Neodiprion lecontei: one gene and its partner. The protein of the gene in region 1 purifies or fractionates together with the protein of each later gene. This does not show direct contact. Links are inferred from orthologs where the notes say so. Each region holds a gene or a part of one and is shown on either strand. Other genes may lie near its edges.

Evidence for each region.
Region 2: the proteins of gamma-tubulin complex component 2 (region 1) and gamma-tubulin complex component 3 fractionate together in Drosophila melanogaster (co-fractionation; 3 studies listed by BioGRID). This does not show direct contact. The link is inferred for Neodiprion lecontei from reciprocal best matches to the Drosophila melanogaster genes Grip84 and Grip91.

The regions. Positions count from the first base shown.
Region 1 is NC_060265.1:6,773,581-6,781,723, forward strand, and holds gamma-tubulin complex component 2, read left to right. Parts: upstream 1-2,043; 5' UTR 2,044-2,148; exon of another isoform or gene 2,149-2,325; 5' UTR 2,326-2,333; coding exon 2,334-2,386; intron 2,387-2,466; coding exon 2,467-2,637; intron 2,638-2,759; coding exon 2,760-2,904; intron 2,905-3,002; coding exon 3,003-3,174; intron 3,175-3,248; coding exon 3,249-3,392; intron 3,393-3,477; coding exon 3,478-3,632; intron 3,633-3,723; coding exon 3,724-3,852; intron 3,853-3,936; coding exon 3,937-4,113; intron 4,114-4,251; coding exon 4,252-4,426; intron 4,427-4,512; coding exon 4,513-4,706; intron 4,707-4,861; coding exon 4,862-5,072; intron 5,073-5,129; coding exon 5,130-5,298; intron 5,299-5,473; coding exon 5,474-5,648; intron 5,649-5,712; coding exon 5,713-5,856; intron 5,857-6,278; coding exon 6,279-6,362; intron 6,363-7,460; coding exon 7,461-7,621; intron 7,622-7,711; coding exon 7,712-7,796; 3' UTR 7,797-8,123; downstream 8,124-8,143. Other genes in the region: uncharacterized protein LOC107222887, read right to left, coding at 1-74, 151-250, 497-880, 972-1,085, 1,246-1,313, 1,770-1,857.
Region 2 is NC_060264.1:21,000,015-21,005,056, forward strand, and holds the start of gamma-tubulin complex component 3, read right to left. Parts: upstream 3,020-5,042; 5' UTR 2,892-3,019; coding exon 2,813-2,891; intron 1,677-2,812; coding exon 1,510-1,676; intron 1,435-1,509; exon of another isoform or gene 1,434-1,434; coding exon 1,301-1,433; intron 144-1,300; coding exon 1-143. Other genes in the region: ribonucleoside-diphosphate reductase subunit M2, read left to right, coding at 4,366-4,614.

The DNA of each region.
Region 1 (8,143 bases):
TGGAGAATGAGATTCATCCTCATCAGAAACATCCTTTATATCGGGCGGCTCAACTTTGATCTGAAAAAAGTATACTAACATCACATTCAAACACAGAGTAAAGCAGCCGTTACGTTTTCCTGTACAATTTAGAAATTTTCATCTACGAACCTACCATTGGTACCACTGGATCAGTTTCATTTCCTACTGATTGGGGAGTCAAACAAACTGCTCCATTACTAGTGAATACTGTTTCCTTAGCCAGTTCATTCTGCAAATTAGAATTCAATCAACAAGGGACAAATAAATGATTTATAACTCATGATATTAAGGGCTAGGAACCAAAAGAGCATAAAATACAATTATTCAGCATTCGATGAGTTTACTGTCGTGAAGGGGTATGCAATAAAAATCTAGAATAGCAGATGTAATCTGCAAATCGGAAAAACAGTGGGTTGCGTCTTTTTGGTCTTTAGCCCTCGATATTTACATATAAATTTTAAAACTGCAAACATACAATAGTATGTGACATCTTGCGCCGTTTACGAACACGAGGTGGCTCAGTTGGTGGAAGTTTATTTTTTTCTGTACTCTTCGTAGCTTTACGTGAGTTATCCAGTACTTGAGGTGCAACTTTTTTCCTGGTATTATTCTCTTGTGGTGGCACTGAATTTTTCTTCACATTCTGTGATTGTATTTCACCTTTCTCATATTTATTTCGAACATTGCTAAGACCTTTGATTTGAAGTGTTTCAGCCGCAGCAAGTAAGTCATCTAATTCGGTTTCTTGTACACGGATTTCACCATGATACATAAATTTAATGATCATTTGAAGATCTTCACACTTGATACCATTCAAAATTACCACAGGATGTTTTGCAGTATGGTGTTTGAAGAGTTCCTGAAAAGATATCGAATTTTATAATAATTATTGAATATTTCCTGTTCCGGCAATAAATGAGCCCCAACTCTGTGCTTCACATAGAAATTACCTGAAAATATGGACTGCACGCAGACAATATTATTCTATGTGCTTTTACGAATCGCCCTTGACAAGATAGAGTTACATCAACCAATTGTTCTGACGATAAATGTTCCATGAATACCTGAAAGAAAATCATATTACCAATTATTTAAGTTCAAAGTATTTACAAACATGCTATCATTGTATATCATATTAAAGATTGTGTAAGTAATATTTTCTTGAAGCAATTATAGTGAAGCTTGAGTGATATTACTATAATTTGTATGTATTCAATTGTTTACCTGCAAAATATTGTTCGTATGGTTATTCCATCGTAGGTTGAATTGTTGATTACCCTCCATCTTTTCACCTGAAAAAACATTTATTTATGAATTTTTTTTACACATTGATATTTATGGCCTCAATATTTCGAAACTTTTCATTCTTGTCTCGTGTGATAGAACCGAAATATTTCGATATTTACACTAGAATACTATATAAAATCAAAAGAAAGAAATTGGTTTTACTTCATGTTACTGATTCTGAACATTTGTAATGAATAATAAAGATAAACAAGATGTAAGATTGAATTAAGAGAAATTGCTATAAGCTGGCGCCATTATTTATAGAACAATGACGACAATAATTAAAGATTTTATGCCACTATGCCAAAAAACTGGTACAGCGTACTTACGGAAAGTTATCACTCGAAAGAAAATTATATGCACCGGCAGAATCAATTCATTTAATGTTCAAAGTCCAAGTGTCAAAATTGTTTCCTAAATTATCTTGAATTGGTTCAGATTCGCAAAAGATCGCTGGTTACCTTTTGTAACAATCGCCGATAGCTGCGCCCTCTGATCTTGACAGCTGTTCATCACCAACAGCGCCCCTTGCGGCTCTTTGCCAACCATGTTTGCGGCTCTTCGAAACACAACAATAACATAACCTGACTCGGTATTTTCTTTACATTTTTATCCGAATGTTATTGATTTGCACCATCTTCTTGAGTAAACGATTACAACATTTCATTCGGAAGTGAACATTTCATTAGGAAGGCCACAAAAAATTGGAAGGCCATGATTCTGGTTGTTGACAAAACGCAAATCCGACAGTTTGGCATTTACTGACAGGTGCGAGCGAAAAGGAGTAGCAGACGAGCAGAAACCTATGGGCGCGACAACGAGTAGAGATAGAACTAACAAGTGAGGCGGTTGTAATTAATGCAGCATTAATGAAAGATTTCATCTTCAGTCAAACTTACAGTAAAACGAAATAAGTGCGAATTTTCTTGATTCGATCAATGCAAAGATCAATGTATTCAGCCGAATTTTTTGGGCATTGTAATTACGAAGTTTAAATGCACAATTTATTTTGAACAGCACTCATTATGAGCGAGTTCAAGCTACATCATTTGGTTGGAGAACTTTTAGAGATACTTGGGTATGTAATATAAATTTGAAATTCTCAAAAAATGAATTACATCTGCTTCTATGAAGTTTAATCAATGCAATAATCCTCAGGTCCTCGTCAGCCCCTGAGAAATATGTAGAAGAACTTCAGAAGCGATGCAGCCGATCATCAGATCTTGCAATAAGCAATGTCGCAACTCAGAGCTGCGTTCGCAAGCTTGCTAAAAACGCACCGGATTCAGATCTCTTTTTACAAAAATACGAAGAATTGAAATCTAAAAAGTAAGACAATCATTCTCCCAATTTTCCAGTAGAAAACTTCAATTACGCTATTGTATGAACAGATATGAGATCAAGATTACCTATATGTAAATTTGAACGGTCACTTTTATTTGATGCTCTAGCGTCGACCTATTGGGTCCCTTTATGCAGCTACTTGATTTAATATCAGCAGATAAAAACTTAAAGGATCACTTGGGAAAGAATGCATTGTCCACTAATTTAAGTAATACCAAAAGTTCAACGATAACTCGAGAGGATGTTCCACAGGTTTGTTGGATCATTTTTCGTGTTTTGAATATTTTGTATTCAGTTTGAAATTGTTGATAGTTGCATAAAAGTTTTAATGAAATAATCCTACATTACAGATTTGTAAAAATGTTATTAAAGCTGCCGTCGAGGGTGAAAGGAAATTGAACAAACAAATCAGCATGACCGACAAGCGGAATGACCCTCCTCTTGTCTCACAAAACTGGGTCGTAGATCGGCCTCGTTTTTCTTGGGATTTTCCTTCAGATTTATCTGTTACTTTCTGTCAGAGTAATTTGATCAAAGTTGACCATCTCCATATAGAATCTTGTAGTTTATTACTTTTGAACAATTATTTATTGCAGAAGTTGTACCAGCTGCATCACAGGAAACAATACTACTCTGGGATATATTGTGTTGTTTAAAAGGGATGGATGGTTCGTACATCACTTCTGAGCCCCTTGCAAATCCTTATGATGTTCGATCTTTTGTAATCTCACAAGACGTAGGTAAGGATCATTAAATAGTGCAATAACTCTTGAATTTTTCTATGTTCAACATCTCAGTAAACATTTTCATATTATCGTTTTTCAGGTACCTCATATAAGCAGTTAGCACAACAAATATTACCATTGGCTTCACATTACTCAATGACTGTTAGATTTATAGAGGAAAAAGTTCTGCCTGAAGACGGTCAAGTTAATCACGCTTTGCGAGGAGCATTGAATTGTCTGCTAAAAGATTATTTGGTATGCAAATAATAAACATTTCTATTAAGCAATTATACGAACATCGTTTTTAGGATTTATCAATAAGTTCATCATGTTCAAATAACTTCAGCTCTTCATTGTACAATTGGAAGCCGAACATATTCGTGGCAAACTCAACTTACAGAAGTTATGGTTTTACATCCAGCCGACCATGGCTACCATGGCAATTCTTGCACATATCACGTCGACCATATGCAAGGTAGTTTTTAAGCTATTAACTATGAGTATTATTGAGTCACCATCTTATTTGTGCATTTCAAAACACAACACTTTCCTTTTGCAGGCGAGTGCCAAAGGTGGCAAAGTCTTGAGCTTGCTACACGAACACATGAATGATATCAGTGGAGAAGCTAAGTCAAAGGAATTATGTTTGTTCCTTATTCGTGCAGCTAGCGTTCCCTACATGCAAACGCTAGAAAAATGGGTCTACAAGGGTGTTATAAGTGATCCGTATCAAGAAGTAGGTTTTTTCTACTCTGCAATATGCGTTAATATTGTAGCTTTTAGTTTCTGCTTCTCGTGTAATCCACATACCACTGAAAATACAAGAATATTATGTAATTGCAATGAATATAATTTCAAAATTTACTTCGAATAGTTTCTAGTTGAGGATAATGAACTCATACAGCGTGAAGAACTGCCAATGGATTATTCTGCCGATTACTGGGAAAAGAGATACACTGTGAGGCACGAAAGAATTCCAGTATTCCTCAGCGAACATGCCCAAACAATTTTGAGAACTGGAAAATATTTAAATGTTATCAGGCAATGTGGTGAGTTTGTTATCAATTTCCTTTATAACTTTCAAAGTTGATTTTAGAAATCCAAACTTTTAAATAAATCTAAATTCATTTTACAGGTAAGACAGTTCAATGGGGAAAGCAAGAACCACTTGAATATCAACACCGTGGACAAAAGTATATTGCTGCTATTGACAGGGCTTATTCTGAAGCTGCGCGGACGCTATTGGAAGTCCTTATTCACGAAAACGACCTGATGGGACGGCTTCGAAGCGTTAAGAATTACTTTCTGTTGGCTCAAGGGGATTTCGTGGTACGTTTACAACTCAAAACATGGTAGAAATTCGGTACCTACAAATAAAATTTTTAAGTAAAATCGATTATTAGAAACGTGTTATAGTTATTTTTATCGTTTTTTACGTAATTCATTATTTTTATTAAAAATTAGTTCTGACATCAATTTTCTAGGTTCAATTTATGAATCTGTGTGAAGGGGAATTGGCAAAAAATATGTACGACATTGTGATTCATCGGCTAGCTTCTCTCCTAGAATTGGCTTTGCGCATGTCGACTGCAGATTGTGATCCATACAAAGATGATTTGAAGCCAGAACTCTTACCCCACGATTTACAATTTCAAATGTTCCGAATCCTTTCCATACAAACACAAGGGGAGAAAGGTATAGATGAAAATAATTGTTAAGTATTCAAATACTAATCGATTCTGTTGTTTATAGATTTTTGTTCTCAAGTTGATACGGCATTAACTGGATTAGAAGCCTTTGTATTCAACTATGACGTCAAGTGGCCAGTTTCTCTAATTATAAACAGAAAAGCAATAGCCTGCTATCAGATGATATTTAGACATTTATTTTACTGCAAACATATTGAAAGGCTATTATGTAGGTGAGTATTTTTCTTACTGTACAAGGTACTATGTAAGGTAACAAAGAAACTAAAATGACGGAAAAATGCGACGATTCATTAATCTGCAGGAAACAGTTTAATTCAAGTGATTTTCCTCTAGCAATTAATTCTGTATTAAAATATTGATCATAAATAGTGTTATTTAATTTTTCAGAGTGTGGATTAGCAATAAAATAGCAAAAACGTTTACGTGTGAAGCTGCAATGGCATATCGTCAAGCATTTTCCCTGAGACAACGTATGCTTGACTGTATACAACACTTGGAATATTATATGATGGTTGAAGTTATAGAGCCGAACTGGCTCACATTTCTCAACAAAATGAGCAAGGTATATAATTTCTTGAAATCAAATGAATGACATAGTTTTAACTATTTTTAATCCTATGGCACAGGTCAGCAACGTGGATGATGTTTTGAGCGTGCATCAGGATCTACTGGATAACTGTCTCAAGGAGTGCATGTTAACGGATCCAGTTTTATTGGCATGCATCACGAGTCTCTGTGCTGTATGCGTCGAATTCTGCAATTTCATGCAGGTAAAAATTTTCATTATTCTTTTACAATTTTTAATTTAATAACAATATTGCGTGTGCGATTGATTTGAAATAATACTTATACAGTTATTGCACAAACCAATACTAAACCACTGTTAGTTAGAAATAATAAAAATCGTATACGGAAGTTAAGTTAAGCATGAATAAGTCCTAGCAGATTTATTCGTATGACTTTGGTCGAGATAAGTGCACAACGGTTTTCTTAAAAATTGTAACATGGCTCTACTGTTACAAAATTTAATAAAATTTTTTTAAACGATGATGCAACCGAAAAATGAACCTTTTGGTTTATCAAAACGGAAATTTTATGAGAAATTTCGTGAAAAAAAACTGAAAAAGCTGCATGAATAAACACATGAATATTTGTCATTGTGTTAATCTGACATCATCTTACTAATGTCAAGCAAATGAGCCGGTACTATGTTGACGCTGAACTGACTTCAATGATTGGATCCTGTCAAGATGACGTCGGTGACTGTGATTCTGAGGTACACGGTTAAAAATATAAGTTTGCTACAGCTCTGCATCATGTAGTTCTAGAAAGCGTGATACTTGCTGCCGATAGATGATTCATTACATCGACTGCATCTCTGCGTTATTTTCATAATTTTTGTATTAATTTAGGCGATTAGCAAGAAACAAAGGTAATCATTAGGTATTTGTTGAAGATATTGTCGTTCTTTTGGAAGAAGTACTGATGTTATGTATTGCATGTTACGACCATGAAAACGAATATCCATTTATGCTTTTTTTTCCCAAACAACGTTTCATGTAAAAAATATTTTCTCAATGTAAATCGCGAATCGATATCTACGGCATCAACAAGAGAAATGAAAAAAAACTGAATTGCCCATTAAAAAATACATACATGTTGAAGTGAAATACAACATGATGCCGAATTAAGAAGTATTTCCGTTATAAGATTTTTGTGCTTTTGATTTGATTTCATGGTAGCAACGTTATTTGCATTTTGTAAATTTAAGATGTAATATTGGAAACATTTACGGAACATGATCAGGAATGCTCCTTCTTTATCTTCATTGTGATTGCAAATTATGTTCCTGCCTGGAAGGTTTTGTCAGACATGATTCTTCAGTAGCACCGTATTATAATACTAGTTGTGATATTTTTTGTTTCTAGTCCTTTTACTTTTAGCGTTTTCAGCTTTCAACAAAATTGAAACAAGACTTTGCTGCAAGAGAACAAGATAAAAAGAAGTTCAGGAAATGAATAGTGATAGCTATAACTAGTACTAGCTTCAAACTTTCCATAATCCATTCGCTTTCATGTTTAAATTAACAGATGACAACATCAATCTAATTCTACTCTGTTTAACAATTGTCCAGCTTTCTCATTGAACATTAGTAGTCAGCTGATAAAACGCAAAAGCCAGTCTTGATATAGACTGTATTAAAATTATTTTTTGTAACGTTGACTAAGATTGTGTTTAACCAGAATGAACAAGACATTGGTTGCGGGACCATCGATGAAATATACAATGTTCAATTAACTTTTGTTTCAATGAAATATCTGTCAATTATATTGCGGTGAATGCCTACGTTCAAACGAAATAATTTATATTATAGAATGATGCTGAATCAACTCTCGGAGCAGAAGAGGGCAGTTTTGAAGAGCGAATAACGAAACTGGACACTAGATTTATGGAGGTTCTTGTTCGTCTTCTTGATAGAATCCGTGACTTGGGCCGTGAAATTGATAATGAAAAGTTACTGAACGTTTTGTGCCGGTAAGTTTATAAATAGATAGATATTTTTTTTTACTTTTCATAAAAGACATTCTGATCTGATTGTAAAATGACACTTTTTCCGGTATATAGATTGGATTTCAACATGTTTTATACGGAAATGCTGTCAAGGCAGGGTATGGAAAAAACTACACGGCAACAAGACATTTCTGGTTGATAAGTGACCACTTCCAGATTGTATAATATACGATCGCACTATACTGTACCTACCATTGACTAAAAAAATGAATATATTTATAGATCTTTGCTAAAAATGACACAGGATCTGAAAGATAAATGCCATACTTTATTGATATAGATCAAATTAATTCATTAGTTATGAATTGAAAATTGTTGTAGATTAACAACACTAGCACAAAGCTAAATATTCCATTTACATAGTAAGCAATTAGAAAATATACCTAAATAAATAATATTACCTTGTCTTATCAATAATGGAACACGTTGTTTTTCACTGAGAATATAATGTAACAAGCCATCATAAGAATTCGTTTTCACTTATTC
Region 2 (5,042 bases), on another chromosome or scaffold:
AAGATCCTGGACCAGCAGATCTTCGGACACTGACTCCTCGTTGAATATTCTTGCGGGATGTAGAGATGGGCCGCGAACTATCGTCTCTGTGTAACTCAATGGAAGCATCTGTCCCTGAGAGCACGAGACCTGTGAGGTCTGACCTAATTCAAAACAGATGATATGCAATAAGCAGGGATAAATTTTCAGGAAGCCTTTACGTGACTCAGAAACAATTAATGAAAGAATTGATACTATTTTATGATATGGAAGACGAAAATAAGCTAATAAGAAACTCGAATCTGTAAAAAAAACAATGTATAAGACTAAACAAAGACAATGCGATTGAATGATTGTATTATGTTTGTTTATTCTGATTAATCGATTAATTAGTCTTTCCAATTCATTGTTTTTCAGTGAATCGAATAATCGGCCCGGTTTATTAATCATATTTCCGATTAATTGGTGTTTCCAACTCCATTTTGTCAGTTAATCGAGTTAATAATCCTTTTAATTAACTGCTTCTTTAATTAATCAATTAACCGGCATTTTCAATTATTCACTTTTTCAATGAATCGATTATTCGGCACTTTATTCTTCGTACGCTTGATTAATCGTTTTTGCGAGTAATTAATGATTAGATCTTGACAAATATTTATTTTTTCGGCTAATGGTTTGTTTGGCATTATCATTTAATCGTTTTTCCAGTCATTCGACTCTTTCAATTAATTGCTTTCATAATTAATCAATGAAATGCACAGCCCTAAACAAAGCATTAATTACAGTAGAAACTCTATTATCCAAACCATGATCACCTTAACTAAACCATCTATTGTCCGAATCTCAAGTCAAATTGGCATGGAATATATATACATATATCGTAACATATATGTGCATTACATATTTATTGAATATTTTCTAGAGCTGATCATCGCGTCACTTAACATTACTGTTCAACTATCCAAATTTTTGATTATCGGAACCAGGCCTGGTCCAAATTGGTTCGAATAATCGATGTTTTACTGTATAGACGTTTTTCTTTTAGGTTTGGTATCTTTAAGAAAAAATTTTCCTTTTTTTTTGACAAGTTCAGAGTCATTTTTCCCATACTATTCTTAATTGAAAATTCGTAACGAAGTTAGAAAGCAACTGAATTTCTTTTTTTTACAATATCATCAATTAGAAGTGGCTTGTTAATGCGTCCGGCATCAAATGCATGTTGTCACAAATGCATTATTTGCTGTGTTAATCAGTTTCATTTATGAAATAGCACAAAACAAAAATTCAGAAACTGGTACAAATTCTGAGTTTCTTTACGCACGGCTGGTAGATGCGACAGGTGATGTCAGACCAAGCCTCATATCGGGGAACGAAAAATGCCTGTCCTTAGTCTGATCAGCGGTTTGTCCCATGTAAAGCAGAAAAGTCAGGATGCTGAGCCTGTTCTTTAGTGGCTGAAAAAATAAGGTTATAATATCAAGAATTTAGTTGATATGAAAGCAAAATAAACTACAAACAAATCAAACGCACCCCGTCCTTAAGGTCGTTGTGGAGTTTGTCGAACTGAACGGCATCGCGAACTTCAAGTTTTCCCTTGATCTGTACGGCAACATTCATTTCATCTTCTCGGAGTGTTTCGGCACCTGGAGACGAAGAGAGGAGTCCCAATGCGAAACGCACAAAGCGTCTTATAGCCTCTGCAAGTATTTAAACATGCAATTTTTAGTCTAAATTGATTGATGATGCTCTCCTCCTTTCACCTCTGATATATGGATCCTTAACAGGCATGTTTTAATTTAACAATAGGATTGTAAATGATCCGAAAATGTTGTGACCCTGCATAGAGGTAAGAATAATAATATCTCAATTTTTCCTTATATCAAAAAACGTTCAAGTCCCCGCCGAAGTGCTTGCTTTCTGCATTTGTTTTCTGCGATGCCATGGCAACAGCAGGAAAGAAAGATGCATCTGCATGCGAAAAATTTGGGATAGCTGAAAACTACGCGGCTGTAAATTGACAGTAATTTCTGATTATTATCATCCTTGAAAAATAAATTACGGTAATTAAAATATTGGTATCAACAAAAACCATCAAAGGAAAAATAAATATAATATAAGAAAGTAGGAATTAAGGTTTTTTTAACTTCTCGACACAATAAATAACAAGCTACACAAATTAAATATCCAATCGAGATAATAATGGTAGGTGAACTTTATTTTCAATTGTGTAGTGAAAAGATTTTATGCTGAAAATAGGAGCAGAGTATTTCGGCACATTGAGCATAGGTTTTTTAAACGTTTATATGGTTTTCGAATCGATAGTCATTTTCATTCCAACAAACTTATTGCTGATCTTGTTCGTCAGATTGTAAAAGCTATGCGAAATCAAATCTTTGGTAGATACTTTGTAGGAATTAAAAATTGAAAACCTTCTTTGCTTCGTTTGTTATTTCATTTATTTAAATAACATTTAGAGTTAAAAATAATTCTAGGGATGAAACCTAATCTATGACTGTTTCTGATTGTAAATATAATTTTAGTAGAGTTAAAATATAGCAATTAATGTCCAAAAATTATCACAAATGACTGTAAATGATGAAATGAGAAGTAAAAAAATTCCAATCGTCAATGTTTCAAGGTTTTATAAGGTCGAATAACGTGTACAACCAAATCTGGAGATTCTAACAAAGCTGAAATACATATTCAACGGGATTAAACACTTGCATAACATGTCATTGTGCTTAAACACAGACGTAATAAACTCGTAAAAACGATTGTGGCGAGCGGTTAGCCCGGCCTTAAACCAACCTAAGCTAATTTAACGTAACCTAACCTGGTTTCTGATCTCCCCAAAGAGAAACGACAAGTTTTTGGATGAGATCACTGATCGTCTCAACGTCAGGAACGCTCATTTTTATACTCTGTAGTGCAACTGATGCACTTCTACCAGGCTACGGCTGTTATTAAGTTTCTAATAATCATGCACATTTGTTTCCCAGAGAGTGACCATAGAGTGAGTGACACACGGGTGACAGGTAAGCAATTAACTATTTACAGGCGAGAAGCTAGCTTTTGGGCAATGTTGCCAACTTCGATTAGTTAACGCTGCAAATCGATGGCTAATAATCGATGTTTTCAGTATTTATCGTGGTAATTACAGAGAGAAACCTGTAATTATACCATACCGCTAGCCATTACGTAAGCATTACGTAAGCTAGACACGGAATACTACTGGGAGGCCTACCAAGGCCGTGTTCGTAAATTGACTGCCAGTACTAAAAATTCCCTAGGACAGAGACAGAGCCATCCATGAACTCGGCAGCACAAAAGAGATAAAAGATTGCTAACAGTACTGTGAGTCAATTTTCGAACACGGCCTAAATCTAGTCAAAGTCATGAACTTTCCCTTTAGAAATGTCGAATTATGGGCGAATCACTACATTTTTCAGTGAAAACACTGATTCATGTTCAAACCGTCAAAATTTTTCCACCAAAAACCTTCAAAAACCACCAGATCCAATCAAACACCACCAAGTTGGCAATGCTGGTGACGTTTTCACATCTTCCAGTCCCTGCATCGATAAAGCAGCACGTATCCGAAAAACTAAGCCGAAGGCAGTTGTAACGTTACTGTTTTGTCTCTATTTGGCGGGAAATATTGCGCGCGAGCAACAAGAAATAGCGCGGGAAACGGCCGAGAGTAAATACGATCATCTTTTATTACCGAACCGGTACGCAAACGACAAACAGATTTTTTCCCGCCACGTGATTGCCAAAGAAATGAGCATAAACCGGTTAATCGACGTATGAGCAAAATTTGGCGGCAACATCACCTTTTCCGATTGGCCATCACGGTCACGTGCCGCATTGTGTTGGCAAATTGGCCAACCAGAGAAATGAGAAGCGGAGCCTCGATGACTGAGAATCAGCAATCCGAAACCGTTTGTTAACTTGTCGTCAGAAGGTGATCAAAAGTAAACGATAATGGAACCTGAGCATAAATTGCCTGTAATCACCATGCCACTCCAAGTTTCGCAGAAAGAGAATGTTTCCCGAAAACTGGAAAGTCTGCAAATCAAGGAAAATGTAAGTCTGAGTATTTGTAGTGTTAAAAATCATATTTATTCACTGTTTCAAACTCACGCTTAGCGCGGAGCTTGTCTCATTCAGCAGCCTTTTGCAGCTGCGCGTGACGCGCGATAAGTGTTTTAACGTGTGCATTAATGCCGCAATTCACACAGTCACACATGCACATCGTTTTAATTTCCTTACGCGAGTTGTGCTCTAACCGCAAACTGCGTCACGACCTCGAAACGCTTAAATTCGCCAAAACTGGCTCTCAGTCTCACTTTTCGCTTCGCATATTCTGCTTAGTGAAACATCGTCATGCTTACATCCGCAGCTAATTCCACGGCGAAATCTGTAATCCCAGTTCCCACAGTAATCGACGAAATTTATGTCTGTGCAAATGCCAACGAGGACCTCAGGTTATCGGCCACTTTCCTTCTATTCTTTGCTCTCTCTACTACAATTTTTTACTGCGCTGTGAAGCGCAACTTCTTCAGTGCCTCCACTCACCACAAATCGTCTCTTTTCGCCTCCTCTGGTCATCACGATTACTGCAATTATCCTGTCGTACGTATCTACAAATGTTGATGCGAGGGATTGTTGACTTGAGAAAGCCATGAATACATGTTAATTGAAGAAACTAAGCAATTATTCAAATATTTCTTGAAATTACAAGCAATCTGTCAACATAATTAAAATCGTCTTAGAACGACTTGAAATGTTATGAAATCACATGATAGCGCTGAAGAATTCATCCAGCAACAAGTTTTGCAAATCGTTGTAGGTCTTGCGGTAAACTACAAATTATTTCAATTCATTAAAATCAATGTCCAGTCTTTTTATTGATTTCTATTTTACCATGTGCTGATTTTTAATTATTTGTTGTGATTTCCCGTGATCTTGTTGAATCTCAAAATCATTGAGAATTGCTTGGTCAACTGGAAATAAGCCACAATCAGATATGGTAGAAATCAGAGATAATCAATTCAAATCAA